4 linked regions of the Lepisosteus oculatus genome follow. The protein of the gene in region 2 purifies or fractionates together with the protein of the main gene of each other region. This does not show direct contact. Links are inferred from orthologs where the notes say so. Each region holds a gene or a part of one and is shown on either strand. Other genes may lie near its edges.

What was found.
Region 1: the proteins of plk1 (region 2) and farp2 purify together in Homo sapiens (affinity purification with mass spectrometry; 3 studies listed by BioGRID and IntAct, with this or other methods). This does not show direct contact. The link is inferred for Lepisosteus oculatus from reciprocal best matches to the Homo sapiens genes PLK1 and FARP2.
Region 3: the proteins of plk1 (region 2) and DDB1- and CUL4-associated factor 1 purify together in Homo sapiens (affinity purification with mass spectrometry; 3 studies listed by BioGRID and IntAct, with this or other methods). This does not show direct contact. The link is inferred for Lepisosteus oculatus from reciprocal best matches to the Homo sapiens genes PLK1 and DCAF1.
Region 4: the proteins of plk1 (region 2) and rai14 purify together in Homo sapiens (affinity purification with mass spectrometry; 4 studies listed by BioGRID and IntAct, counting the BioPlex papers as one, with this or other methods). This does not show direct contact. The link is inferred for Lepisosteus oculatus from reciprocal best matches to the Homo sapiens genes PLK1 and RAI14.

Annotation. Positions count from the first base shown.
Region 1 is NC_090708.1:12,321,942-12,329,112, forward strand, and holds the start of farp2 (FERM, ARHGEF and pleckstrin domain-containing protein 2), read left to right. Parts: upstream 1-4,078; 5' UTR 4,079-4,109; intron 4,110-4,179; exon of another isoform or gene 4,180-4,283; intron 4,284-5,405; exon of another isoform or gene 5,406-5,428; intron 5,429-5,935; exon of another isoform or gene 5,936-6,041; intron 6,042-7,171. Other genes in the region: ephexin-1, read left to right, coding at 1,094-1,287. UniProt on the Homo sapiens protein: Functions as a guanine nucleotide exchange factor that activates RAC1. May have relatively low activity. Plays a role in the response to class 3 semaphorins and remodeling of the actin cytoskeleton.
Region 2 is NC_090714.1:12,120,454-12,128,153, forward strand, and holds the start of plk1 (serine/threonine-protein kinase PLK1), read left to right. Parts: upstream 1-4,487; 5' UTR 4,488-4,896; coding exon 4,897-5,265; intron 5,266-6,268; coding exon 6,269-6,437; intron 6,438-7,322; coding exon 7,323-7,467; intron 7,468-7,660; coding exon 7,661-7,700. UniProt on the Homo sapiens protein: Serine/threonine-protein kinase that performs several important functions throughout M phase of the cell cycle, including the regulation of centrosome maturation and spindle assembly, the removal of cohesins from chromosome arms, the inactivation of anaphase-promoting complex/cyclosome (APC/C) inhibitors, and the regulation of mitotic exit and cytokinesis.
Region 3 is NC_090699.1:58,782,956-58,790,657, reverse strand, and holds the start of DDB1- and CUL4-associated factor 1, read left to right. Parts: upstream 1-4,567; 5' UTR 4,568-5,177; coding exon 5,178-5,187; intron 5,188-7,702. UniProt on the Homo sapiens protein: Acts both as a substrate recognition component of E3 ubiquitin-protein ligase complexes and as an atypical serine/threonine-protein kinase, playing key roles in various processes such as cell cycle, telomerase regulation and histone modification.
Region 4 is NC_090698.1:16,594,494-16,602,226, forward strand, and holds the start of rai14 (ankycorbin), read right to left. Parts: upstream 3,074-7,733; 5' UTR 2,828-3,073; intron 2,146-2,827; 5' UTR 2,111-2,145; coding exon 2,075-2,110; intron 1-2,074. UniProt on the Homo sapiens protein: Plays a role in actin regulation at the ectoplasmic specialization, a type of cell junction specific to testis. Important for establishment of sperm polarity and normal spermatid adhesion.

The sequences.
Region 1 (7,171 bases), on a different chromosome or scaffold from region 2:
TGTGCTGTGGGGATATTTTATTTTTTTTAAATACGTCATGTCTGTACACATTTGTTATTTTCAAACGCTAGGGTTTTGTTTGGAATTAAAGGTCTGTACAAACCTTCAAGAGAAGCGTCTTTCCGTCTCCTTAGTCATCCGTAATAAAAACCCGAAACGTGTTTCTTCTTTTAATCTGGAATATTCCTTATTGACGCATTACGGCTTCCCGGAAAACGTCTATGCACTCTGAATCTGGTCCTCTAGCCTGGTGGGACTACAAACATGTCATGTCAAAAAACATTAGACTGCAGAATCGAAGTGCACTCTGGCTGGAGTTCACCTCCCAAAGATCCAAGTCTAAATTGTGTGCATTAAAGAAATTGGGCCAATTTCACAAGAGGCACGTGGCTTTGAATGGAAAAAGAACAACCTTTTGACTTTCACCACAAATAAACGTGTTTTTTTTATAAAACCGATAATTTATGTATATAAAATGTGGTAAACAGTATGCACAACTTGCATAAAATAATCCCTTGATTGGAAAACTGGGAGCCTTGTAATCCATTGAGTGCGATATAGGCTAGATGAGCTGAATGACCTCCTCCTGTTCATAAGGGCACAGTGTGCTCAGGAGGGGCAATTAGAAAGTAGTCTTCTTGCTCGCTGCAGCATTCAGGGAGTAGGCGTAAGCCAGTTATTCCCTTGGCAATAGCTTTGCTGGATAGTCTAGTCAAGATGAAACTTCAGTGAATCTTGTAAACTGAAATGCTTGAAATTCTCCAGCTCCTGAAATGTCAGATCACTTTTTTTGGCCATATTCAATTTCTTGTATTGGGAATTTGTCTATTCACATACCCCAGCCTGCTCTCCATGAGACACACAGACAGGGAGTGAAGCTTGGGGTCAGAGTTCAGGGTCAGCCATTTATACGGCACCCCTGGAGAAGCTGGGCTTAAGGGCCTCGCTCAGGGGCCCAATGAACCGGCGACCTTCCAGCCACAGGGGCAGATCCTTAGCCACAGAGCCACCACGTTGCCCGAACTTTCTGTGTGACCTGAGGGCTGCGGTTTATCCTAGGCGTCAGGGTTGATCTGCTCTCCCCCTCCCTCAGGCTTCCTGGAGGGCCGGCGGTTGGTGGACGGGGAGCGGGGCTGGTTCCCCGCCAGCTTCGTGAAGGAGATCACCAACGAGCACGTGCAGAGGAGGCACCTGCGCCAGCGGTACCGCGTTCTCCAGACGGCCAACAGGCTGCTGAACCGGCGCACCTCGTCCCGTGAGCGCCGGGTCTCCAGCTGCTTCCGATAGGGGCGGGAGAGACCTGACCCCTCGTGGGCACAGCAAGACCCGGCACCGGCCTATCTGAGGTGGAGCGGATCGGGCTGGGAAGTGTGTGCAGCAGCTGCCTGGATTGATTTTTACACCTGATAAACCTCATAGCAGCATGTTGTTGAGCCCAAGGGCAGGGAGGGTCCCTTTTAAAGAACACCTCCTCTGTAGTGGGTTATAGTGACAATGAAAAACAAGCCAACCCCAAATCACCCTCCTGGCAAGTTGCTTTCCTGCCATAAAGAGGGATTATCCATTCATCATCAAATGTGCCCTTGGCTCTTCTAAGACATTGGAGTAAATAGTATTTTATTATGTAGACCCTCTACGAAGGCCTCACTGACAAATATAAAGACACAAGTAAAGGTTTATTCCATGCTGAAAAGAGAAGAAGAACACAACGTTACGGCTGTGGAGACGTCTTTGAGTGTCACACCCCAAGAAGGCTCCACAGCAGAAACGTTGTATTTCTTTTCATCTCTTTTCAGCATGGAATAAACCTTTACTTGTTCCTTTGCAGCCTACGCATGCTGATGCAGCTACCTACTTGAAATATAAAGACATTCATCTGAATGTGTTCAGTTAATTTAAGGACAGCATGTTATTCTGTAGTGAATTAAAAATGTCAGTGATTTTTGAGGTTTACCATAAATGATGAAAATCTAGCCATGGCTGTTGTGGAACTCTATTTTACACATCTACAGTAGGCACTAAAAATTAAAATTGTATAACTGCTTTTTCTTCTAAGGGGCCACAAACATACTGCAATGAATACTGCCATTGAATAAAACCAAGTTCTAAAATCATATAAAGAACTGCTTCATCTGTGGTCACACTTGTTTTATAGTGCAGTTATATGGTGGTTACAGTGTGCTGTTTACACTACAATTAAACAACCTTTTAATAGAATTAAGCAGTTTGATGTTCATGGAGATCAGGCTAAAGTGCAACCGTGAAATCCCTTAAAACAGCCATCAGATTGGATATGCTGCAAAATCAATTTCATATCCCAGCCTAACCATTTTTTGGGGATAATACCATTTAATTGTATTTGTACATGTAGAGATACAAACAAAATATATAGCCATTCAATTATTTATTAATATTTTAAATGAATATGGACTTCGTTTTAGAAAAGGCAGCTGTTTCTTTAAAAGTCCTTTTGCTTTTTTGGAGTCCTAATCCAGTGGAATAATGTTGCCCCATTTACAAGGGAAGGTTCTGCCCATTTTGCTAATTTCATATCTAGTAGCTTGTAGCAGATTGATCTAAGAATGCCTTCAAATCAATTCTTAAAGTATCCAGATCGTACCCTCTGTGTTCAGTTGCCTCTGGCGGTCTGAATGCTCCGAAATCTCTTGTTGTTTTGGTCAGTGCAGTTCAGGCTTTTGAATACCTGATAGAATCCTCAAATCAGCATCTGTGTTTTATGCTGAATAGATGCAGTCTCTGGGAGTGTAACATTCTTGTCATATCTCTTCCTTCGGATGAGACTTAAAACCGAGGTCCTGACTCTCTGTGGTCATTAAAAATCCCAGGGTGTTTCTTGAAAAGAGTAGGGGTGTACCCCGGCGTCCTGGCCAAATTTCCCATCAGCCTTTATCAATCATGGCCTCCTAACAATCCCCCTCTATAAATTGGCTTAATTACTCTGCTCTCCTCCCCACTGATAGCTGATGTGTGGTGAGCGTTCTGGCGCACTGCGGCTGCCGTCGCATCATCCAGGTGGATGCTGCACATTGGTGGTGGTAGAGGGGAGTCCCCATTACCTGTAAAGCGCTTGGAGTGGAGTGTCCAGAAAAGCGCTATATAAATGTAAGCAATTATTATTATTATTATATCAATCATATGTGTCCACAAGAGACTGAGCACCCTTAAGACTTTGTGTTGACCCTAAAGCTCAAGTGTCTTGTGTTGGAGAAGCCTCGGCTTCCAATCAGACTGACCCCACCCCAGCCCCCCCACTTGTGCTGTGCGCCTGGTGGAGAGTCGCCAGGTCATCCCTCTGGCCATACACAAGGCTCCCCAGGTTGCCCTGGGTACCTGAGAATCAGATCAACAGCCTCGCTAGGCTTTTGTAATCCCACAATTCCCTGATACTTACTCCATCCACTTCCCTTCTTGTACAGTAATATTTTGAGTGTTGTGCAAAGCTCATTTAGTTTTGTCTCATATTCCTGTTAATTTCATTCTTTGGATTGATTCTAAGTATTCCCTTACCCCTACACCTATATATACACACCCATCTCATTTTTCGTTTTCAGGTTTTTATATATCTATAATGTATGTGCATTCCCTCAAGAATAGTTTGGAAAGATGCTTTCTAAGATTAAAATCGATAGCTAATCATGTAATTTACTAAACCTTTGCTTGATACAACATATTGTGCTATTTTAATGAACACAGTTTAACTTACTATTAAGAATGCAAAATAAAGAATGGAGTGGAGTTGAAAGTGCTTTTTGGTTATGAAAGCCGCAATACATTAAAACATTTTTAATGGTCAAGCATTGAATTGCAATAACACTCTTCTGGTAATATATAGAAAGAATCAAAGTTTTTTACTGATATTAAAGAAAGTAAAATAATAAGTAATCGATTCATCTCGTCACGCAATGTATTCTACCCATGAATTTCTGGGAACGAGTTGTCGTTCTTGTAACGCATATAAAATAGTCGATTATTGTGTCATCACTTATCGAACCAATACCAGTCAAGCAAATCAATACCAGCGCTCCCTTCAGCCAATTGTTCTGGAAAGTGGATTCAGCTGTACTTGCCCAATCGCGGAGCTCCTGCAGGTAACATCTTTGTCCTATCGCAAGTGGAACAATGCTGAGGCGGGTTATCCAATGGGAATCGGGGAGGGTTTTGGTTCTGGCCAATCAGAGCGCAGCAGTGCTCGCCGTGTGTTAGCGATGGCCGTCTGAGCGTCTCGCGCTGGGATTTTTAGGAATAAAGCGACAGAAATTCAGGTACGTCATTAATTTCTTCCAGTACCTTTTTTTAAGTCCTTACATTTCAACAGTAATTTTTATTTCATGAAAAAAACATTATGGCTCGGAAAATGTAATCAGGGGTTTCCCACCAAGTTTGTAAATTCCAGAGTGTTGGAGCGCTTTTGCAAGAGAAAAAATCTGCAGTTTACTTTTTGAACGTACTTAAATTCGTAGTTTTTCCGAGTTAGTTGCCTGTTTGCTCATATATTTGAGGTTTTAGAAAAAAGATTTCACCTCGCACTTCTATTTGCATCGGGTACGATCGGAAGCAATCGTATATCTCAGTCGTGCGCCAGTGTTGAGCGTAAAGTTGAAGAAAGTTGATCAAATGAAATGCATGTGTTAGATGAGATTTAATGTTTAATCCGCCCTTTATTAAATAAAAGTTTTGCATTAAATGTTTTGTTTTACCTAAGGTAGTAATTTGATCACGACAGTAATTAATGCTTCTAGAACAAAAACATATTTTGACATCAAATCTCAGCGACATGTACATGCAAAAATGTTGGATGGACTTTAACAAACATTTAGACTTCGGGAACGTGGCCATGCGACTCTGTCATGCATTATTAACCACCGATTGCGATGTGCTGCTTAGTTCAGTTCAAACCTTATTGACACCAAACGTTTTAAGAATTTAATCTTAGTATTCTGGGGCAAGGTACAACACATTTGGAAATTCCCGTTTTAAAGGAGCTGGTTTAGTCGAGTGGATGGGCGAATACCTGTTTTTTTTTAACGCCAGTAAAGTTTACTCCAGTCGCAACCTGTTTTCAGGAATATACAGCATTTCAGCGATTGCGTGTTTTCCCAAAAGTTTATACACTTGCCTTTCTGTAATATTAAAAGATGTCGCATTTGAGTAATACTGTATATCCAAAACCAGCAGCAAGCCCTTCATCATACAACCGTGACTAGGCATAATAGGTTTTCTCCCCCATAAAGCTGCTGTTGATAGCGATAGTTGCTCGGCCGTGCCCTTTGAACTTGCTTAAATGAAAGTCTCGTTTGTTGGAAATGTGCGGCGATAATGTAACGGAGAAACGCGAGCAAGTGTGCTGTAGTTGGTTCAGCAAACGAAGTTCAGATTTCTAGGTTTTGATCGGACAACACAAAGAAAGGTGAAAGGATGGTCACCGTTCTCCGAACGACATGGGCTTTATTCCGCGGAAATGTGTGGGTAGCAATGTCGACGTGTTGTGGGAGTCGGAATTAGAAATGATTCACTGTGCCCTCTTTTGGGAACAGCACAGTGTGGAGGTATGGCCCAAACGAAGCGTGGTGTCTTGGAAACAGTCTTGAAGCAAAAATGTCAGTGGATATTGTTGTATTGTAAAATGAGACTGTCGAGGGATTATTTGGTCACGTTTCTTCTCTTCAGAAAAACAAACAGCCTGATGAGAGTTTATTTCTCCCTCACGCCGAGAAGCCGGTTGCTCTGGAGTCGTCAGGATGCGCGTTGACTGACCCCGGGAAAATGTCAACAAACCGAGTTGTCGCACGGCCTGCTACTGTAACAGAAGGGGGTGACGTCAGATAGTCAACAAGGTGGAGGGCGGCTTTATTGTCACAATCAAAATACTTGCAAGCTTTTCACTGACGGTACACAATGAGGAAGAGTTTCCTTGACCTGCATCGATAACACGGAATTATAAAAATAGCTGGATGGTTTTTACCACCACGGCACAGTTCTCGGTATCTCGACCAACTTGAGTGAAATAAGAATAGCAAAAGGTAGACATTTACACTACTGACTAAGACATTGGGTGTTCCCCAAAGGTGGTTTTTAAGTTGTGGATTATTTGACAATTCCGAGTTAACAATTAAGAAATTAAATGCAGACAATCAAAAATTATAGGCTGGAATACCAAAAAAGCTATAGGGATATATTATGGTACTGGGTTAAGGTTTTTTCAGTGTATTACAGTGGTATTTTGCTTTTTGTATCATATTGTAGTTTTCTTGTGTCTTTGGAGATGTTTCCTGATCTTTAATTTAAGATTCAATACGTGTAATGCCATGTGAAAACACCCCCTTCCTGTACTTTTACTGTGTACAGGATGACTTGGGACATGAAGCAAAAACAAAAAGAATACACCAACTTTTATACTGGTGTTTCACTTCTAGTACTGAACCTATGTGATTTATTCTTTCTTGTGGGTGTTAATGCAAAATAAGTCTTGGAAGATATCTCAAAATAACCTCTACATGGTCTTTTGAAGGGGCTTCCTGTAAATTGACTTATTTGAACTGTTCTTTTTCTCACTATTACAGTAATTCATACACATGAGTATTTAACATGTCTCTGAGTACTGCTAGGCTAGCAGTGTGTCGTACTGTCGTTAAAAGAGCCTTAGCAGTGTTTGTCTGACTTGGGCTGTCTCTCTAATAGGTGTTGTTGACATTGGCGTTGCCAGAATAGTGACATTTTGACACTTTCTCCCAGTCCTCAGAGAGAAGGCGTTTTGCTGTACAAAATAGATTTAACACTAAAAGATCCTCTGTCTAAGAAAGTTCTGTGATCTCACTCTAAAACAGTTGATTTTTAAATCATGGCTTTTTTTTCTTGACTTCAGTCAGTTGGATTTAAAATACGGGCACGTTATTTTATAAACAGTACTTAACCGCAGTCACCTCTTCTGTGGTGGCTGAGTACCAAACAAAGCATCAAAGAGAGATAAACATTGCTCTCTGTCTGTCTTTAGCAAAGTAAAGTATACAGATTCTCAATATTGATTACATGTTTGGCGGCACTTTGATTAATTGATCATTCATGACTGCCCACAACACACTTGAGTCATTTGGGCTTAAATACATAAACCGTTAGACTGTTGTTGTATTCTAAGCACTAAATGACCTCATTA
Region 2 (7,700 bases):
GAGATCTGCACCTGGGTTCCGCCTTCATCCAGAAACACAAAGCGGGCGCAGAACTGGGAGCAAGGCGGCACCACAGCACGCGATCATCTCCGACGGCCAGCAGAACGAAAACACGAGGTTTAGAACGGGACCCAACGCCATCAAGCAGGGCGAGCGGATGATTCAGCCCGTGTTTGTGTTTCCATCTGTTTTTATTTGTCCTCTCCGCAGCTTGTAAGGTGGCAGCTGTTGAACAACTGGCTCCGGGGATCAAAACAGAGTTACATTAACACACACAGGGTTGAAGTGCAAATGCTGTTACCTGAGAAGGCCAAAAGAGTGAGGACAAGCCTAGGACTAAGGGATTGACTCTAACACTTCCTCGCACTCCTCTCTACTCAGTATCTCTCCCACCCAGAGCTGGGCAGGGCCTTGGCATTTGCAGGAGCTGGCTGCTGCAGTCTACACGTGAGAGCGCTGCCTTTTTATGCCTTCGACAAAAGCCTCACGTGTGCACTGAGTCTGATCAGAAAGCCGATTAGACAGCGTGGTACTGAAAGAGTTGACCTTCCCACGACAGCATTCTGGGAACGTGCTAGGAAACCGGAGTGGATGTATTTGCAGACAATGGACACCTCTTCTCTCCTCGCAATCAGGGAAACCTGAGGGCTCCAATCTGATAACTGAAAGGCCAGCCTCTGTCCATTATCATCTCCCCTGATTTAGTCTTCACACGGATTCTAGGGCTGTATCACGCATCTCGTATTATTTTTTTAGCTGATGCACTTATCCAAGATGATGTGCATACCAGACAATTGCTGGACTAAAAAACCCAACATACAGAATAAAGAGAAAGGCAATAACGAAGCACAATACAGAGGGTAAAGCCACAAAAGGTGCAGAAGTGAAAGAAATGCAGGGATGAATTGTAGACTCTTAAAGGTGAAACATGGGCAGGTGGGGCATGAAGAGGCACAGCAAGCTAGGAGAGAGGACAAGGACCTGCTGTGCAGCTGGCACCATTGGCGAGTACTGTACACACCCAGGGGTCTGGATTCTGCAAGAGGACAATCAAACTCCTGCATCACCCAGAGTTTAGCAATTCATTTTTGGCTCACAAAACCCCCTTTCTGCTGTGTAGAAACCGACACACTGCTGTGCCCTCACCTGATCCAGCCATGGTGCCTGTGAGCACAGAGGCTCAGGTTGAAGGCAGGCGAGCTGAGCTGAGCAACTGCAGCTGTCTTAATGAGAACCGCAGTGCAGGTCAGGAACACGCTGGAGGCCAATCTGGATGGCTGATGTTTTTTTTTTCCCTATTCCTGTCCCTCTCATCTATCTTTAAGGCACACTCTCTTTCTCTCGGCACGATGTAAACAGTGTGTATTTAAAGAATCTATTTCTGTTACCTGTGCTCTAATCAAGACCCACATGAATCCCATCTTCTGCAAGCTCTGCCCATTGTCTCCAGCACTGGCAGATGTGCTTGACATGTTTGGAGCCAACGTACTGTGGCCTTTTGATATTCAAATCTGCACACACAAGATATCCCCCTGTGCTGAACAGACATGTGTATCTATTGATCCTCCCAAACTGGGAATGAATAGACCATTTAGGAGGTTAAATAAGCAAATGATCCAAAGAGTCTTGAGAAGCACAAAAACATCCGGTCTGAATCTGGCAGACGCTGCCTCCTACGCACTGCACACTGTGCCAGGAGGATTGGAGGGGGTGAAGCTCAAATAGTCTGTTAATAGCTTCCATTCTTTATTTTTATTTATTTGAACATGTTATAGTTAATGAATAGCCAGAATGGTCCCAGCCCATGTGTATTATATCTACTGATAACGGGTGCCTGCATTCTTAAAAATAATCAAAGGTGTTTACAAAATAAACTTTGCTTTCCTTACCAATCATATGAAAGTAAAGTAATAGTAACATATACAGCAGTAAATGCAAGAACGTTGTGGAAAAGTCTTGCAGTGCACTATTAACTTTGTATTGTTCCTGTGTAATATTTTTCCTATCAAACATTGTTTGGACTGTAATAATATATTTGAATACTTAAAAATTGATCGCCTAAAATTAAGTAATCAATTAATTATTATTTAACTATTAGTTAATAATTATTTGATATTGCCACACAACAATATTTGGTGGAGTTTGCTTTTGGTACAGCAAGAGAACACGATTACGCTGACAAACAACATACAATATTAACAAATACACGTTGAAATTCAGAGACAAGCAAAACACAATCACATCATACGTAAACAGGTAGCAAAGTGAATTGTAAAAGAGATGTTCACAGGTGGCTAAATAGCTGAGGGGAAAGAGTCAAGGACTGTATAGCAGTGGGCCGGGAGCTAAGGTTGAAGCAGGCTCCCTATCCTTTCTGACAGTGCATGACGCTTTCAGATAGGCATATTTCCATAAACCCCTTTATTTTGACACCCCTTGTTGTAAAGCCCTCGATATCTCAGCAGAATCCTGAGACTTGAGTGATTTTAATGGACAGTACAGTCATCAGTGCAGAGTACATAGAGATGAAGCTAATTCATAGATGGGGATGGTCAAGGTCATGAATGATCAAGGCCTGGACACCAGAGTTACACCCCTACTCTTTTTGAGAAATACTGTGACCACAGAAGGTCAGGGTCATCTGAGCGATGGCACCTTTTTAAAAATAGAGTCCCCATTACTATACTGGGGCATTTGGATCCAAATGACTACAGGGTGAGCGCCCCCTGCTGGCCCCACTAACACCTCTTCCAGCAGCAGCCTTAGTTTTTCACAGGAGGTCTCCCACCCAGGTACTGACCAGGCTCACACCTGCGGAGCTTCAGTGAGCTGCAAATGGTGAACTGAAGGGTGATATAGCTAAATTGAATGGAGTGATATAACTAGGTGACCAATGTGGCCTTGAATTACAAAAAAAATACCGTAGTAAAAAAAACTACTGGATGTAACCCCTTTCGGCGATTATCTGCGACCGGGTGAAAGGACTTGCCAAAACGTTCTTAAACTTTAACGTTTCCAGGCACTCAGTGTCTTCGGAGAACTTGGGACACAGAGCCGTGACCCGCCTGCCACCGCCCTCTAGTGGTCAGAGTGTTCCAATACCATAAGTAACGCAAATCCCTTCTGTTCTTTTTAAATTGTTTTTTTTTCTTCTCATATATCATTGGATGTCACAAATACAATGTGTTAGATACGTTCCTGTAAGGCCCTCGGTCTGTATTTGCTACCTTTTATAGAAATATTTATTTTCATTCACCTCGATAATCAACAGTTTTCACACAGCACACAGCAACACACGGATTCGGTAGTTTTTTTTTAATTAGGGACTTTGTTTTTGAATTGAAAGGCTAATTCGCGTCCCGAATAATACACTTCCTTCCCTCTGCCACGACGGGCGATTTAACTACAGTACCGTTAATGATAACTTTTATAATCATATATATATACATGAATTGAGAGAAAATAGATCCTGTCGCTTAGGCAGACAGGATATCGCTTCCCCAACGGAGCTCTGAGGAAATGGAAGAATTTTCCGGGACAGGAGAAGATTGTCGTTATGCTCAAGCTAAGTAATTTGCGACCGATTAGAGGAAGTGTTGTCCTGAAAATACTCTTCCAAACAACCCAAGGTACGAGGAAAATCGGTGTCACTTTCATGTGACTCAGTTTTATTGTACTTCAGTGACTAATGTCCTTTTGGCATTCCCATTGTAATCCAATTAATAGCTTACCCAAAACTACGTGCTTCGTAATGGTTTTTCCTCCCAATAAACTCCGGTGGTCGTTGTTTTTCAAGTAACTGCCACATAGCAGCCCGACGACACACAGATTTTTAAGTGTGCCGATTAAAATGGGATAAAATATACCAGGAACTGGGAGGTGCAGGACTTTTTAAAAATAAATTTCGAGTTAGTGTTTACAGCGCACTGTAAAGGGTAAAAAAATAAATGGCATTTAATTGATTAAAATTCATTTTTAACACTCCACAGCGGAATACGGATACAGGAAAATGCTTAATGGTACAGTATTTGTGTGGTGGGCGTGGGGATGGAATTCACTTCTCGATCATTTTGATCCTCATAGAAGAACGATTACATATAAAGAATAACTCTTTATATCAACAATTACCCATTACTAGATACCTGGTTACAGAAGCTGTATAAGACAAGCCTGAAAATAAAATAAAAACATTAGACCAGAGTCACTAGAATATACTTACAGTCCTGTCAGATTTCAAACCAGTACTGGTGAGTTCTGCAAACCAGTATTTCCATACTCAAAAACAACAACAACAAGACTGCGTCTGGCGTTTCTGTGTAACCAGGGAGAAAGCAGCGTGCCCTCCTGCTGTTGTGTGTCTCGTCCGGGGGGGCTGTCAATAAAGCTGGTTCAAAAGCTCAGGGGGCATTTAAACTTGGGCGCTCCCATGCTGCCCTGCGGCGGGCAGGCTGGATTTCAAATCCTGCGGACCAATCACGGGCGGCGCCGTCGCTTTTAACGAACGGAGCTGGATTTGAAATGCTGTCGAGTCCACAAGGGCTGTATTGCCAGAGAAGGACACAGAGGGGGCTGGTAGAGACGGGCGTTGGAGGGGGGTTAGGACTGGCTGACAAACAAAATACACAGCGCTTTTTGCACACTTTTTTTTATTAACATTAAAGCGTCTCCGTATGAGTCTACATCGAGCCGATTGTCTTCTGCGGGGAAAAGTTTTGATTTGAATTTCTATGCGGCTCGGAGAAAGGGTAGTAGCTGTAAGACTTGGCCTGTGTCCGTTGGTTTGTAGTTTTGGATCTGCCTTTTTTTTAAAAAAAAATCGATATAAGTACAAGTCTCGGTAGGTTCTGTAAAGAGGGCTGAGGTTACATTAATATATTCAAACGCTTAACTTTCGAAATGAGCGCCGCCGCCGTAGCAGCGAAGGCGATGAAGCCGTCAGTGCAGGTTGACCCCAAGTCGGCCCCGCTAAAGGAGGTCCCCGATATTTTGGTGGACACCCGGACCAAGAAGAGGTACCTCCGGGGCCGGTTTCTGGGGAAGGGGGGGTTCGCGAAGTGCTACGAGATCACAGATATGGACACCAAGGAGGTCTTCGCTGGGAAGGTCGTCCCCAAGTCCATGTTACTGAAGCCGCATCAGAAAGAGAAAATGTCCATGGAAATCACGATCCACAAGAGCCTGAATAATGCCCACGTCGTCGGGTTTCACGGCTTTTTCGAGGACGAGGACTTCGTGTACGTGGTCCTGGAGATCTGCCGGAGACGGGTGAGTACTGTAACTGTCAGGTCGGGCCGAGCCCGGGCGGAGGAGAGGACAATCCGGCATTTCTGTAACCGAAAGGATGGGGTGGCGAGTTGTTAACCGACTGATGAAGCTGATGATAGTGGCGAGTTGTTCACCTGCTGTTTTAATAAGTTACATTTTTAGAGGAAAATGCTCGGTGTCCCATTTTGGTAACTTTCTAAAAAAACGGTTACCCGGAGATGAGTGGTTTTTAAGTGTGTGTGTGTGGGCGGCGGGGCGCACCCCCTCAGTACTGCAACCCCATTTTTTCTGCGAATGGAACCCGATTGCGCGTACGCCAGCCTTTTTTTTCCCCTCGGGTCGGGTGTTGCGCAGCCTCCCCCGGCCGTGCGCTTGCCTGGACTCGCATTGCCATGACGCTCCGAGCGCCTCCTGCAGTTCCTGTTCCTATGGAGTGTGGCTCCTGCCCGAGCTATTCCAGCGTGTCAAAGGGAACACCCCTCCCCTTCCCCCCAACAGACTCTAAATGTGCACCTTTTGGCTACCCTTGTATCCAAACTGTTTGGGAATGAGTGCAGTGATTACTTTCCCCCGCTGCGTAAAGATCAAATTTTTTTTTGGAGGCGTCTTACAACTTAATAGGAACAAGTAATAGGTTTATTCCGTGCTGAAAAGAGCAGAGAGGAAATGCAGCGTTTCGGGTGTGGAGCCTTCCTCACAGCTGAAGAAGGCTCCACAGCCGAAACGTTGTTTCCTTTCTTCTCTTTTCAGCACGGAATAAACCTATCACTTGTTCCTTTGCAGCCTATGCATGCTGATGCAGCTACCTAGCTGAACTACTTACAACTTGATAGGGTTGATTTGCTTTTGTACTTAAGTATTTCATCCCGTAATCTCCCCCATTTCTCCTGTTCAAGTTGTAAAACTTCCCTTCTGACACGTTTTTGCAGAGTCTGTACTTCTAACCTAATTGCATTTCTTTCACTGAGGTCTTTGAACATCTTTTTTTTCCCCACCCCTCCAGTCTCTGCTGGAGTTGCACAAGAGGAGGAAGGCGGTGACTGAGCCGGAGGCCCGGTATTATATGAGGCAGACTATTGTGGGGTGCCAGTACCTCCACAACAACAGAGTGATCCACAGAGATCTCAAGCTGGGGAACCTGTTTCTGAACGACGAGATGGAGGTCAAGATAGGTAATGCAGCTGGGCCTGCTCAGAAAACTGTTCTTCTGCCTGCAGAGACGAGCCAGGGGTTCTGTTTCGTAAAGATCTGGACTCGTGTCCAGGCACCAGTGAGGGGTGGGCAGTGATGTGGACTGGGGGTCTCCAGTCTAGAGGTAGGGGGTTTTTGGGGGATCCCTTTGGGTTTTGGAGCTGCGATGTTAGAAAATTGTCAGCTGACATTCATTTCGTGAAAAGGAATAATTCCTCAGACTTGTATAGCGCTTTTCTGGACAATCCACTTTACAGGTAATGGGAACTCCCCTCCACCTCCACCTCCACCAGTGTGCAGCCCCACCTGGATGATGTAACAGCAGCCATAGTGCGCCAGTATGCTCACCACACACCAGCTATTAGTGGGGAGGAGAACAGAGTAATGAAGCCAGTTCATAGAGGGGAATTAATTAGGAGGCCATGATTAATGAGGGCTAATGGGAAATTTGTCCAGGACGCCGGGGTTACACCCCTACTCTTTTTGAGAAACACCCTGGGATTTTTAATGACCACAGAGAGTCAGGACCTCGGTTTTACGTCTCATCCGAAGGACGGCGCCTGTTTACAGTATAGTGTCCCCGTCACTACACTGGGGCATTAGGACCCACACAGACCACTAACTGGCCCCACTAACGCCTCTTCCAGCAGCAACCTTAGTTGCTGATAGTTGAAATCCCGAGCCAAGAAACTGGCAAACCCTCGAAAACGTACTTTCCTTCCTGTTGCATCCGAGATGAACTGCTCACGTGCGCAGACTGGTCAAATGACATCAGTGCCTCTATGTGTTCCTCATGCTCTAGGCGTCAGCTCTGCATCCTGGCTCCCTGAGTCCATGCCTGCCTGTTTTTTTTTGCCCCCCTGCAGGCGATTTTGGCCTGGCCACGAAGATCGAGTACGATGGCGAGCGAAAGAAGACTCTGTGCGGCACGCCGAACTACATCGCCCCCGAGGTGCTGTGCAAGAAGGGCCACAGCTTTGAGGTGGACATCTGGTCACTGGGCTGCATCCTGTAAGCACTGGAGTTGGGGGGGCGGGGGTAGTTATTGAGCGTGTGTCAGCTAGAAGACTTGCGTTCTCCGGTGTGGTTTTGGACTGGACTGACCATATTGACTATTGGCTGTGCTGTCTACCAGAATGATCTGCCTGCTGTTAGTTAGTGCACCTCGCTGACTGACGAACCCGTCCCCCCCCTCTCTGTCCAGCTACACGCTGCTGGTGGGGAAGCCGCCCTTCGAGACCTCT
Region 3 (7,702 bases), on a different chromosome or scaffold from region 2:
AACTGAGGACGAAGCTTACATTTATATTGAATGTAATAAATATCTCTCATTTTGGAAATGGCAGAGATACAATATGTGCAAAATGGTTTGTGTTCTAAAGAAGCAACACATTTTCCAGCAGAGTGATACCTTCATGCAAATGTTACATAAGCTACTCACTACTGTATATATAAGTAATTACTTATCTGTTTCTATATTTTAGCAAAATGGTAGATTAATGGAAAGGGAAAATAAGTACTGAACCAAATATTTTGTTGAGAGCTGAAAATACATTTTATAACAAAGCCTAAATCTGGCAACACATACTGAAGCATTGGTTTAATATTTTACATTTCTTTGAAAGAAAATGCCATCAGAGAAGCAATTTATTTATATTCTACTTTACTTTAATACTTCTGCTTTGATGGATGCACAGAGTGATAATATATTGCTTTTACAATACTGGATTGATTTAGGCCATGAATACTGCTTTATCTTTATGTCATTTTGTGAATCAGTTTAACTTTTTTGTTATTGCTATGAATTATTGAACATCTGCAAACACTTTGTGCAGCTGAATATAAAGATTAGCTATTGCCAATTTTCCTCTGCATTTATTTTATCTGTATGAATCGATTTTTGGGTATTTTATTTTTTCAAACCATCTAATGCACACAGTTTAATTAAGGTATTTATAATATAGGGATGACTAAAAAGGCTTTTTACTTTTGGATTCTTCATAACATCGTGATAAAAATAGCAAAACGTTCCTCATTGTGTCAGTATTGAAAGAATCGTGCTTTCAAAGTACAGTAATTTAAGTTTAAGGTAGGATTTTTAGAGGCAGTAGCACCACCTAGTGTTTTTCTTAAGTCCACAGCAGGCAGGTGATTCGTTAGCGGTGATCAGAACGAATTTCTGTTGTGCTGTTGAAGAATGAAAAGAAACTTCACTATCGATTTAATTATAAAAACACATGACAAATGGTGCAATTTATGGAGAGTTCCTACTTAATAAAGGAAATAATAATAATAGGTTAGATTATTCTTTTCAACCATGCATCAAACTGTGCCAGTATTTTTCCCCACTGAAACTAATAATCAAAGTATATGGAATACTGAGTATTTGGTTACTGAAAGAGTAAAAGCTTCGGTTTAAACAGCTTGTGTTCAGAGATGTATTTATCTCCGCCCAGCTGACAAACTGAACATTGATATTGATACATATTGAATATATAGATCAAAACACACTTTCAATTTTTTAAACGTCTACCATTAAACAATTTTGAATGGTTGAAAAAATGTTTTTTTATTTACAGTAGCTTATGTGTCACACATGAAATCTGCTAAAATTCGGATGTCAAACTTATTTAACAGTGAACAGCAAACTGTTAACACAAACAAATGTCTACTATGATTTTGTTTCTGAAACATTCGCCTTCGGGGTGGGGGTGACAAGCATCACCCTGAGTCATCTTTCCTGTTTCAGGTATTGCTCATCTCAGAGCTATTGAGCCTCATAAATAAGTAATCTCTGGTAAAACAGCGAAAATGTGATTTGTAACAGCTACTTTTTTACTTCTGACTTAGCACTTAATAATATTTCTCAGAGTTTTCCCACTGTGATAAAACCAAAACTTTAAAGGACATAATAACTGGAATAAGTTAATTGTGTTGTAAACAGAACTAAAACGGTCTGTTTTGTGCACATTACAGCACAAAACAACACTACACTGTATCACTGTAATGTATAGTCAACTTGTAGTCCTTGAATTGAGCTATATTGTATTTTTGATTGAATGGTACATTTAATTAATACTTGGGTGTGTTATTAAAAATTACAAAAAAAAAACCGGACATAATTTATTTTGTAATTTCTTTATTTTTTAATGATCTTTAGTGTACCTCTGGTGGAAGGGAATGGTAGATTTCCTATACATCTTATACAGTAGCCTATTCAGTAAAACGCTAAAAGAACTCGTTTAGCAGAACTGAACGGAAAACGTCGGGTTAAGAAGTTAAATCTGCGCGTAAACACTGATTGTTTTCCTATCAGGATGACAATAGGGACTCTGTAAATTTATGAATATGTTTTTCTTTTTGGGATTTTATTTTAATGTAAACAGGAACAATCTATATATTGTATGTATAACCATGTCGCTTACAAGTCAGTAAAATATGAACGTCAGTCTAGCCGCGTTGTCGCTGCGCTCCGCAAGGATACAGTATATCAATCCATTATATGGACTTTTTTAGCGTTTATAAACCTTAGATATATCGGTCTGTATAATAATAATCTTTCCTTTCATGTAACTGTCCTAAGTGTAAGAAATAAGGACAAAGAGATGCTTTTGCCATTAAAACTGACTGGATACGTTTCATAATATTGTTAGAACTTAAGGCCATCTCGAAAAACAATAGGTAGAAAGGGAGCTGTTTACCTAGCTGTGAGAGACAGAGGATAAAAGAAAACCTTATACTCTGGTTAATCGAAACTGAAGAAAAACATTTAAAACACAGATACATATCACAAGACACAGTAGAGAGACAGGTCAGAGAAAGGGGATGAAGAGACAGAGGGAGACAGGGAACTAACAGAAAGAAGAGAGATGTTCTGTTCTTGGATTTGGTGATTATGCATTTTAGAATAGGTACTGTACAGTAGATTCTTTTACCTTTGGACATACAGGATTATAGGAATGGATATTTAGCACTGGGTTATATTATGTCAATTTAGTTCAAGTTGGTAGTTGTGTCAGCATGCGTAGGTTGCAAAGGAACAATTAAAGGTTTATTCCATGCTGAAAAGAGAAGAAAAGGAACACAACGTTTTGGCTTTGCAGCTTCGGGTCTTCGGGTGTGTCAATTTATGTCAATTTAAGACGTCAAATGTTTCTCCCGTTCACATGTTTAGGCATTATATACAGTATATGATTTCAGGGTACAGGGTTAGTGTTCCGGGTTTCTGGGTCTGTAGAATTTAGGCCTTGTTTTGTAAATGGTGTAACATTTATGTTGCATGTTGTGTAATGTGTTGTGTTGTTTAATTGTCGTTGTTATTATTAATAACTTCATTTTAAGTCTCTTCGCTTTGAACTAGGAAATGTTTTTGATGTCGTAATTGACATTTTCTATTGGACCATGTGGTAATATGGTACGCTCATCTGCAAAAGCTCTTGCAAATGGGCTTTTCAAGTTAAAATTTGAGACTTTGAGCCTTTTGTGGGACAATGTATTTTTTTAGATTAACCTCACCACTAAGCAGTTTAAGAAGAAATTTCTGAAGAAATAGACATAATATTATGAAAAAGACACAACAGGTTTCTTATGAAGGACGACAGACAGGGATTCAGAGTTTCAAAGTGAATTTCTCCTTCGCAGTCCTTGATACTGCTGCAGTATTTACTTGGTTGTCGAAAGATTTAAACAGATGCAGTTTAAACAGCAGCCTGAGTCAGTATTTGGCTTTCAATGTGATATACATATTTTGTAAAGAAAACCGCAAATGAGATACGGAATTGCATACAGAAGTAAAGTCAGCATGGACACAAGAAAATAAAAAAACATGTCGATACAACATGAAATTCTTTTGGAATTGTACAAAAGAACTAGTGAGTAATACAAAAGATAAGGCGTTTTAACAGTATTGAGTGATTTAAAAAAATACTCGTTAAACTCCATTCATCAGTTTTATTATTTCTTTCTATGTTGGATTTGGTAATAATGGTAGCTATAGCATGCTAGTTTGTAACGCTTTTGGATGTGTAATAAAAATGTAATGGACATTCTGGCTGTGAATTTTTTTATTTTAAATTGGACAAATATTATCTACACGTTTGTGTACAAACACAATCTGAAACTTTTTGTGTCTTTGTTTTAATTAAGCTCAGAAACATTGGTTGGATAGACAGCGGAACAAACTGAATAATCAAACCAAGGTTGTAAAATACTTTTAAAAGTAAAGAAAAAAATGTTTTACCTAGGGCGCCAGCTGCTGGCCGTTTTTTCTAGGGCCGCAGACCATGACACTTCTGATCTCTGTATTCTTTCGGAATTATTGCAGTTATCTCTTGATTAATTATTAACAGTACAAAGTAAAAATGTTTCATACGTTTAAATGTTTTGTGGTGTTCATTGTACATTACAGCCGATTTTATTAAAAAGTGTTAATTGCTTTCCCCGATACTCAGTTTTCTACTATTGCTACGGAACGTCTTCGCTTTGCCTATTTTGCAGCAGTACTACAATACCCAGAGTGCACAGCGAGTTGAGACGCGCATGCTCTGTCCTCTTGACGTCAAAAGTCCTCGCGTGGTGTCGCCTAAGCGGTGACGCGAGGAACGTGGTGGCCATAATAAACCTGGCGCACACGGGAACTGATATCAGTGAGATCACAAAACGTAGTGAGAAAAACGTAACATATACAAACTACTGACTCCCAAGATTTCACGCGCAAACGCTTCTTTCCGGAGTTGGCTGCAGAGGATACCCACGGAGGTTTGTGTGTGTGTGGGGGGGGAGGCCGAGAGGGACTGTGAGGTAAGTCCTGCAGATATGGAAGTGAGCCTGTGTCTGTCAGAGACCAGTGTGCAGTCAGGCTCTCGTTCATGCTTACAACCACCAAAGGGTACATGGGTCACAATACAGTAGAGAAGATGTTGGCGTTGCTTTCGTTGTTTAACTAAAAAGCGGTGAAACAAGGGCACTGTTAGGAGAGAATTCATCATTCACCGCGAAGACACACATGTGAAGAACCCCCTTGCATAAAGGGTTGGACTCAAGTCTTTACAAAATACTGGCTCTGTACAAAATTCGGCATAAAGCCGTTTTAGCAGTGCGGGAACCTGGTTTTCGCCGCTTTCTTCGGCGTTTTGTAATCTCAGGAGTTGCGTCAGCTGTTCGTTTACTCTGGAAGCTTGTTCACCAGCTACCCCAAATGAACCTGACCGCGGCCGGTCAGCGCGCTGTCCTGAAAGCTGGTTGGCACCTTCCTGTAGGCTATACACCGTAACCCTAACGTGTGCAGTGGTATTCAATTCAACACGTGGTTTCCTGTCCACCACTGTTCACTTTGTGTACAAGCGGCCCACCAGCTCTGTGCACAGCGGCGCTGGTGTGAGTGCATGGAGCCGATCGAGTCCACTGTACTGGTGTGATATAGCGCTGTCAGTGCTGTACCGAGGTAGTCGTGCTGGGTCGATGTCATACGGTATGTTACTAACTTGGCCTCTGCCAAGAAAGAATTAACTGTTGCTTCGCCACCGCCGCTGTCGTTGGTGTCTGCTGATCTGTTGCTCCGTAAAGCTATGTTGTAATGGTGTTAAGGCACAAAACAAAACGGAGGAAAACGTGCCAGCGTTTTGGCGTGCCGAGATCGTTTGATGATGAAGGGGAAACCATTCGTTTTGTGAGAAATAACCTCGTTAGAACAAAAACGCTCAATACATAAAACACTTTTCATTCTACACGTAAATCGATAGCAAAACTCGGTCTTGTGGATTTTTTATATGTAATATTATATACGAGCTTGCGATAATAGTTAATAATACATAATTGACAGTTTGTCAGTAACTCCACAATACATGTTTGAAAGTTTTGCATAATTGATGTCCCTAATCCGTTTTTTTTAAAGCATAGCAAAGCAATTTTCTGGGAATTTCCTAGAAATGTAAATGTAATTGAAAAATAACTTAACTTTTTTAAAAGTGTTTTTAACTGTACAGCTTTTATAGAGGCATAAAGCGATTTGAGTTTTTTTGTAATACTTTTGTAACATCATAATGTGCTTTCATCATAACCCCCATGGGATAGAAAAGCTTTTATTTCAGTAACATTGAATATCAAATCATTCTTTGCACCCATGCAGACTGAAAATGAGTAAATGTCTTTTGTTATTGTGCCTAATTAGTATCTCAATAAAGCAGGCCTAAATATTTAACTCTTTTAATCATTTGAAAATGTTTATAAATATTTGCAATATTAGCAATAAATACAAAAGCTGAAAAAGTATGCTTTTCAGAAATGGCAAAAGAGTCAGTTAGAGATATCAAAAGTCTGTTAAAAAAAACAGCTTTTCTACGTTTACTACTTTACTACATTTGGTCCAAAACAACTGAATATTGCCTTGTACTGTGAAATTAGAGTGGCACAGTGGTTAGCTTTGCATCCTTACAGTGCTGGGGGTCTGGGTTCAATTCCAGACCTGGGGTGCTATATGTGTGACGTTTGTATGCCCTCCTCATGTTTGTGTGGGTAACCTCTGGGTACTCCTGTTTCCTCCCAGTCCGAAAAACATACTGGTAGTTTGATTGGCCCGGGTGTGAGTGCGCTCATGTTTGTGTTTGTGTGCCTTGCCCTGCGCTAGACTGGCGTCCTATCCAGGGTGTATCCTGCCTTGCACTTGTAGCTTGCTGGCACAGACTCGGGCTCCCCTGCTACTCTGAAATGGAAGAAGCAGATAGAAGATGGATGGATGGATTTTGAAATTGCCAAAACATAACAAACAATTTACTGAGTGGCAAACTGCTTTGTGTATGCATCATTTGCAGTGTTCAACTAGAAACTCATTAGAATATTATTACCTGCAAGATCCGCAGTAATTTCGTTTTGATTTGGGCACTTGCTTATGGTCCTTCTCAAACATTTGTGTCTTCACTGGTTTGAAGACACTGTCGGCAGACTCCAAGAGGCTGGTTGAATGTTAATAGTTATATTTTGTGCAGATGTCCAGATGGTGATCAGAATGAGGAAATGATTTGTGGCTGTTTACTTCAGGCAGGGAGAGTAGACAGCTTGGAACCTCTTCATATGATGAGTTATTCAGTCTAAAGTTGAATTGGGGTTGAGACTGTAACTGCTTCATATATAAAGGAAGTTGCAACTGATCAAAATTAATGAACTGTGACCAACACCTGAATTTAATGAGTTGGTACATCCAGTATCAGAAATATACTGTATATATTTAGAAAAGCATGTTTACTTGAGGTCCACTAAGTTATGCTTTTTTCCATGTGCTTGCTTAAGCGTAATAAAAACAGAAGCAACTGGTGTGTGTGATTTAGCGCCTTAAAGATTTCCATGGTAACAGAATTGCATTTCTTATGGAAAGACAAACTCCTGAATCCATTATAAGCCATATCATAGGCTTTTGGGGTTATGTAAAGTGTAAATTGAGCTTAGGCGTGTTTTATTGTAAATTCCATCTGTAAAATTTTGTTACTTCAGGTAGAAGGGAGGAGATTGTTAGGCAATAGTTTAAATGTTTAACAGTAGTCAGTCCTGACACTGTCTTAAGTAGAAACTGTTTAGAAAAGCCAAATAAATACTTTTTTTTGTTTATTATCTATCTATATAATAAACAAATAATGAACAAAGAATACAAACTGAGCTCAAATGGATTCATTAATCTTCAGTGGACAATTTGGCAGTGGAGAATTTAATGTGACTACTTGAAAGGTCTAATGAGACAAACTTCAAGTTTATTACTGTATATCCATTCATCTCCTACTAGATTCTTAACTTTGAACTGTACCCTGTTGCAATTAGAAGTGGACATTAATTAACTTGTTCCGTACTCCCATAACCCATTGCGTAAAGAAGTGCCTCCTGTTCTCTATTTTAAACGCGCTTATATGTAGTTTACACTTGTGCGTTCTAGTTTGTGCTTCAGTGTTCATTCTTCAAGCAGTCTGTTGGGTTGACTTTGTCGGTGCCTTTGAGGATTT
Region 4 (7,733 bases), on a different chromosome or scaffold from region 2:
CGACAGAGATGTACAGTAGTTTGATTGTATCACCTCACATTCTTGAGAAATGCCTCAGCTTTACTACTGCTACATGCATGTAGGATGAAACTCTGCGCTTGGACGGCTATTGTTTTCTGTGCTAAATTTGCCAGAGGTCCAGGAAACACTATGGGTTTTCAAACTCTATTCAACAACAGTTTACATCACTGCCAAACATAAAGACTAGCTTACAAATACTTGCTGAAATCACATTAAAAAAGGATCTAAAGAATGTGCAGGGAAACCACAGAACTCAAAATAACTGAAGGGAGAAAAAGCAGAATGGGCAAGTGGAAGCAGTTGTATTAAAAGAGGTGTTTTCATTGGAATGCTTGTTCTGGCTCCAATTAGTGATATTGCCAATGGACAGAAATACAAAAGGACCCACTTTTACTCAGTGAACACATCTTATTTTTGAAAATGCAGAATAAAACCTAAGAGGCCGTCCCTTGCTTTAATACATTTCTGTGTGGTCCACAACAAACTCAGTTCCCTGATGGGAGGAGTCCCCCTTCCATAGTTTTGCACACACTCAGAAGAATTAAAGACTCCGCGACTCACAATGACCCAAGGACCTATGGTGAAAAAAGCATAATGCCTGTAGTACAAAAGTGCAAGGATCAAGCCAGGGAGTGTCTAAACACAGAATGTTCATACTTTACCACCCAGCAAGTCATCCTTTAAAAAACAACAGACTAACTTGGATTTATCCTTTGAATGTCCCAGTGCCATTTTATGACTAGTATATTAAAACATTATTGTAGCTTGGTAGAGCGCATCAATACCAAGACCAGTGGAGGTAAAGACTGGAAAAGTTCTGCAGAAGCACTGATGAATGGATGAACTGGATTAGGATTGCAAAAGTGTGTTAGGATCCTTTGTTAGGATGAAAAGCACTTGTCCAAACAAGTTGTGCCTTTTGTGTTAGTACATAAACAGACATACTGTAGATTTAGAAGCAGTGTCCCACTCATACTGTAAATGGAATCCTCCAGTTTATTTGCAGTGAAACAATGTTTTTTTAGGACTTAAATAGCTCACGCAGGGATTCAATTAAATAATTGACTCCCCAGTGAACTGTAAAATCGCAAATCCTGTTCATGGACTTTCTACTTGACCCTACCCAATGGGAGGCTACCTTTAGAACAGGGTTTGTAATTTGCAGATGTTAAAAGGGTCAAAGTTGTGATTCCATCCTAGCTTAAACCAGGAAACAAAAAACCTCCCTGTCTCTACCCCAACCACTTAGATGAACAACTAGCTCAAATTTGGTCATCATTAGGCTGGTCAGCTCTTTTTCAACGTTATTGTCCAAGAAGGAGGACCCATTTTGCCACCACACTCCTTGAAGCTAAATATCTCCGTGTCCATAAAAGCAGGTCCTTGCATTTGAAGGATGCAATATGTTTGAACACTTAATCCCCGGTCCATTGGTGCCCCTCCTGAAGCTTATCTGTTTTTTTTTTCTCTAAAACAATCAATACCAGGAAGGACCATGCAACCAAAAAAGAAAAAAAAAAGATTCCAACAGTGTTGTCTTGCTTCAGTTGAATTTATAGAAATCACAAAACCTACAGACTTGGGTACTGCAGCTCAATCCGAAAGGACTTCACTTTTCACCTACCTGCTTTTGAGTCTCAACCATGTGGTGCACTGTGGTCAGGCCAAGTTCAACATTCCCCCTTACGAGATATAATCTGAACCGACATCCAGATGCATTTCTTACCAATGGTGAACCAAACAAATCATTTATGCAATAAACATAACGCATAACATTCAAAAAGGCAGGGCAATTCAGGATGTTTCTAACACCATGATCTACAGGGTCAAGCGATGCTATTAAACATAAGCCTTGAAATTAAGATGTTCTGTATTACACTGCTGTGGCTGGTGCTGGCATGCAGAATAGAAATCACAGAGAATTACATTTTCCCTGGCTCCAACTTGCAGGAGTCAAGGCCAGTTTCCATCCGCCTCGTTCCTCAACACAGACAACTCTGCCAGATACAGTGAGCACAAAACCATGCAGCGGGAAACAAAAAACTGTACTTACATCACTCTTCCTGAACTTTGCTTTAAGGCTCTTCATTTTTGTACATGCAGTTTCACAGAAGTCAACAAAGCCTGTGTGAATGAAGTACAATCGTCAATTTGAGTGCTCCTCCTCTTAAAAGAAAAAACACATTCTGGGCGTAATGTGCTCTCCCAAGCGGTCATAGCAGACCAAACAAGTGATACTGTTCAACACATGCGCCCCCATTGAAGACCGGCATTACCGTTATGCTCTTTTAATAAAGATGAACAAACGTAAAATGTTCATTTGCTAGTTTCTTCGTTTTGTTAGTCTAAAGTAACCAGCATGACGGTCTCTCTCTCTATATTTTTCCTACACGTGCTAAAATGTTTTAACCACAATAAATCTTATCTAGATTCAAATTTCACCTTGCTTCAATTAATTTTCTTTTGTGATAGAAACACATCTGCAGCGACGTCTCTTCGTAGTCAGCATATTTCCTCCAAATTACATGACAAAAAGGCTCTCTACGGCTTTAGTACACTCTCCCTTTATATTTTTTACTTGGCAATCTTTTCACTTTAACAGAGCCATCCGGACAATAAAACACATGTACTTTTTTAAAAGGGGGTGAAGGTTATGTTTTTCTATGACCGTCTGTCCAGCACTGTCCGGCTCCGCGAAAACAAAACCCCTATTCATTCCTCTACAGCCTCTGGTCTCTCATTCGTCAAGCCAGCGAGCTCTGCGCTCAAAAATGTTTTAACTTCGCCAAATGTTTTGAAGACTTACCACATAAAAAGTTGAGAGGCGTTATTAGCCAACCTGTTGAACAGTTCCCAAGTTTCACCCGAGTAAAATAAAAGAAGAGGAGAAAGAGAGGCTTAAAAATAATAATGAAACAATCTTTTTTTTCCTCTGAGCTCGGGGAGCACCGACAAGCGCTCTCGCATGTATTAAGTCCGCTCAGCCCATTCAGTGGCCTGCGAAAGTGCTCGGGCGCTCTGATTGTTTCCCTGGGTTGAAAGGGTGACGTCACCCCTGCCCTCGTCACAGCCGACTTTTTTGCAAAAGCGGCGGCTCAGTCAGGCGGTGTTGGTGTACTGCTGTCCACGGGTCTGGCCGCTCAGCCGCCTCGCCCCCGGGCAACGCTGTGACACACACACACACACTCCAAAGTTTGTTTCCAAAGAAGTGGTGCAACAAGAGTTTTATTTATTATTTTTGTTTCTGAATGAGTCAAGGCTTTGAAGCGTTACGAAAAGCTGAAGGTAGTCAGTCAGAGCAGCTTCATTCATTTGCAAGTCTAACAGTGTTTTGCTCAAGTATCTAATTAGCCTACTCCCTTATGAAATAACACAGCTATCCTGCCAGATGTACTGTATTTTGTTGTTATGGGAACTACACTTGGCATTTGGTTTCTGTTCTGTGGGAAATGCTTTTGGAGAGAGGGAAGTTTGTTCAAACGTGCAGAAGATACTGTACAATCTATGTTAGGTTTACATCACCCACGCTGTGGTGTACTATCGTTTGAAGGTGAAATAATGTCTTGGAGGTTTCACAGTGTGCTTGCAGGAGGCAAAGTATATTTCCCTCTGGAAACACAATAATATTTTAGTTTATTTGTGTTCTTTGTGCATCCTTAGTGAATACCTGTTTTTTCTATGGTTAAAAATATAAAAAGAACAGTTTATAATGGATTTTAATAATAATTGTAACAATACAGCTTCTTTCTCACCTTCAGTCCTTTCTCATCACATCCTTATTGTCATCAAAACTGACAAGCTGAAGGCACTGAGCGATTTAAGTTTTGAACAGAGAAGACTATGAGGGGTCCCGATTCAAGTTTAAAAAACATTCAAAAGCACTGACAAAGTCAACCCAGAAGGGTTTGCTTCTGCCACAAGAAGCAAGAGCATCTCAATGCTAAATGCAAATATGCAATGACAAGATCACTCTTCAAATTTGCACATGTATCCTCAATTCACAAGACATCTGTTCCTACCCTAATCTATGAACTGCAAACAGTGTTCCCTTGGAACAGTGCTCTGTTTATCATCATTGTGAGGTTTTGGTCCAAGACAGCCTAATATGATTATCATTTCTTTCAATTACAACATCTATTCATGGCTGGATATGGTGAACAGATGATGTCTGCTCTGTAGACATTCAATTATCCCTGAGCTCTGTTTCTTTATTGAAACCTTGGAATGCCCACATTTTAAAACTCTTCTTGTTCTTTAACTCAGTCAATTGTCTGTTAATTCTGTGAGACTGAATTAGTGCTTCGAATGAAGAAAATAAAAGAGAATATCTCCCGCTGCTGTGATGTATGTATAGAATGGGTAAGATAGTAGTTCTGTTTACCCTGGCCTTAGCAGTGTGTCTGTTTACAGTGACAGCTTCCAGAACCTTTCTTACAGGGGAGCAGGTCTTCTGGATCTTTTTAAATCATCCTTAGATAACAGCCTCAAACACTTTCATTTAAACTAATTAAGTATTTAACTTTCTGTATCTCTACAAATAGTGTACCATTGTGGTCGTAATATAATTTATATATTTTTTTTCTTTGCATAGTCTGCTTCACTTTAGTTTTGCTTTGGTTTTCTAATTTTACATTTTTAGTTTTTCTCAAATTTATTTTGCATTTTACATTGATTTACAAATATCACAATTGAAGTCTCATGGAGCAAGACTTACTTCAGGCTCTGTAGTGGAGAGAAAGAAGCCAATAAATTAAGAACAGAAAACATTCGTTTAAAAATAGCATACAGTATGTGCAATTATCTTGCAGCCACTAATTATCTTATACCATTCCCTCGCACATAAATTAAACAATGGATGCTCTTCAATTTGTCTCATTAAAGATACATTTATAATTTCTCAACAAACTTGATCCTATCATGTTGAGAAAGTTTGATACAGTGATAATATATCTGCAGCACAGCACCAGACACACTACTGAGGAGACACAAACACAGCAGTATCTTGTGAAGTGACAGACAATTATGCTGAAGGTAGATGTGGAAGTGTTGAACTCTCGTATATTTAAAAAAACATCCAAAGATCACTCTGTGGCTTTTAGTTTCTGAAAAATATACAATTTACATCATACATCCCCTTTGATTCAGTTTGGAGGAGAGTCAAATCTGGGGCCTGGCTGAACCCACACATATACTGAACATGACCACTTCTGTCACGTCTAAACATACAAACCTAATGACAGATTGGATTTGTCTCCCAAATTTGTGTATCTGTTACAGAATTATGTGGATTAAAGGAGCTATTCATATCGCCAAATCCAATCCTTTTAGCTCACATCTTGTATGCCCTGTTTTATGTGTTTCGTTGGTTGTTGTTTTGTATTCTGGCTTCTACAGTGTTTAGCTCATTAACTGTCTATAACTATAACTACAATATAATCTATTAACCTTAATTTTAATCTAGAAAATGAATACACAAACATGGGCCTTAAATATCTGTGTGTATGCAGTCAAAGATAAAAGTACAACTAAGGGTTAATTACACACTGAAAAGTAGAAAGAAGAAACACAATGTTTAAAATGTAGAGCCTCTTTCAGGTGTGAGGGCCGAAATACAAAGCACAGGAGAACACAGGACAGAGCAGGTGAGAACCGGCACACAGGTGAGAATGAGTAACCACAGGAAGAGGGCTCTGGAGGGAGGTGGGAAAAGCTGAAATCGGTCAATAAGAGAGCAGGTTTAAAAAGACATGTGATAACACGAAAAAATGGAACAATCCCACAGTAAGTTAGTAAACTGTGTGCACTGGCATCCATTATATGGCATCTGGCATCTGTTATAAAGTGGAAGCTTCTGTCCTGAGAGACCTGTCCTCATTCTTTGATGTGAGCATTCTTGAGTCCAGTCGGATTGATGGATTTATTCACGAGCACAGAGTATTTCAGATTTACCATAATCATTTCTGTCAGATTCAAGTCAGCTGATTGGCACAGCCAGCACTGCCCTTGGACCCTTAACACTGCCTTTAATTGTCCTTCTTTCTCACACGCGTTTCCCAGTCCACAAACAGCTAAGGTAAATTAGACACTGGACAGAATGAAGAAAACATTACTAGGAAACAGTAACACAGATATCCCAGACATATCTTTTTGCATAAACATGATCAATTCTTTCTGTTGGTGCTTAGCTAAAAGTCTCTTATTTTTATGAGTATCTACAAAGTTTATATGAAATGTATAGCTCCTAAAGAGATTTCACTTGGTTACTAACCATACATTATTTATAACAAGACAAAGACAAAAACTAGTAGTGCATTGTAGTGTATCAATTTTTGTAAGTGAATAAGAATTCATATGAATGCAAATGGGTTTTAAAACTGCACTTTTTGTGCAGTAGGGCTGTTTTATCTTTGTAATATTTCATCTGGGATAGTACCCTCTGTTGCAGTAGGGGGTAGTATTAACACTGCTTACAGAACTTTCATCATTTTGGCAATACAGGATAATGAACTGAATGTATGGCTTCTTTGTTTTTCATAACCGTGGTAATTTAGACACATCTGTGTTTAATTCTCAGAAAAAAATAGCTATGCAGTGCATTTTCCTTAGTGAATGTTTTAGCAATTTCACTGAGTTGTCATTAAAACGTGAATGTCACTGCATTCCTGTTATCACTGAGACAGAATCATCCCAAAGGATATCAAAGCTCTTTATGTGCTGGATTGAACTGCATCTTCACACAGCTGAAGTACTCAGTTTGGACTCTTCTTCTCTCCAACTGTGAATGAACAAACTAAGGGTTTGCTCAAGTAACAGTGTGCTCAAACCTGTCCAGCTAGCTACCTTACACATCAGAAACCCAAGTAACCAACTGGACAACCATGAGTGTTGCCTTAGTCTTCCTGATGCCTTTGTCCTGTTGTTTGTGATATGGGTGTCTACTGAAAAGAAAATAAGAGTCTTCTAATGCATCCTTTTGGGTAGATAATAACTCCTCTGTCCTGGAGACCACAGTCAAGAAGGTTTGTAGGGTTCTTTAAATCTGCACGAGTTGGGAAGATCAATTAAACTCCTTCTTTATTAGTCCAAATGTGATATTAACTGTCAATCTGGAATAAAAAGCTACGGGCACAGCAGCCCCCTGGAGGACATGTGCTTGTTGTCTTTCTGTTTCTTGTTTTGTATGCTGGAAAGCCCAGCTTTCTCACTGACGACAGAGGATGGTTTGACTAAAAGCAAAATAAGTCTCAATACTCCTAGCAATAAAGTGCAGGTGGGTTTCTGCCCACATAATATCTCTTAATGTGAAACCCTGGCATCCCCCATTTTCTCATTTTATGGAATCCCATTACTTATGCTCTCTGGTTACTCAGAAATCAAAGGGTCATAGGGTTGCTTTTATTTTGAAGAGATTTTTCTGAGGAACTGTGGACGGTTAGAGGCTATATGAAATGGGGATCAAGGAACAGAGTTACAGAACTGATGTCACCCCCTCTGAAATCTAGACAGTGTAGAACTCTACCATGACAGGAGGACCTGGTCTTTTGGAGTGGCAGAGCTACCCTCTGTCTAGGGAGGGGCAGCCAGTGTAAATGCCAGCAGGGGCACTGCTGCCACTGTCACATATGCACCTGTTTGAGTGAATAACAGGAAGTGGCAAGGATCTCTGGCCATTTCTCGTTGCCATAGGAGTAGTCAATTCCTCCCCCAACACT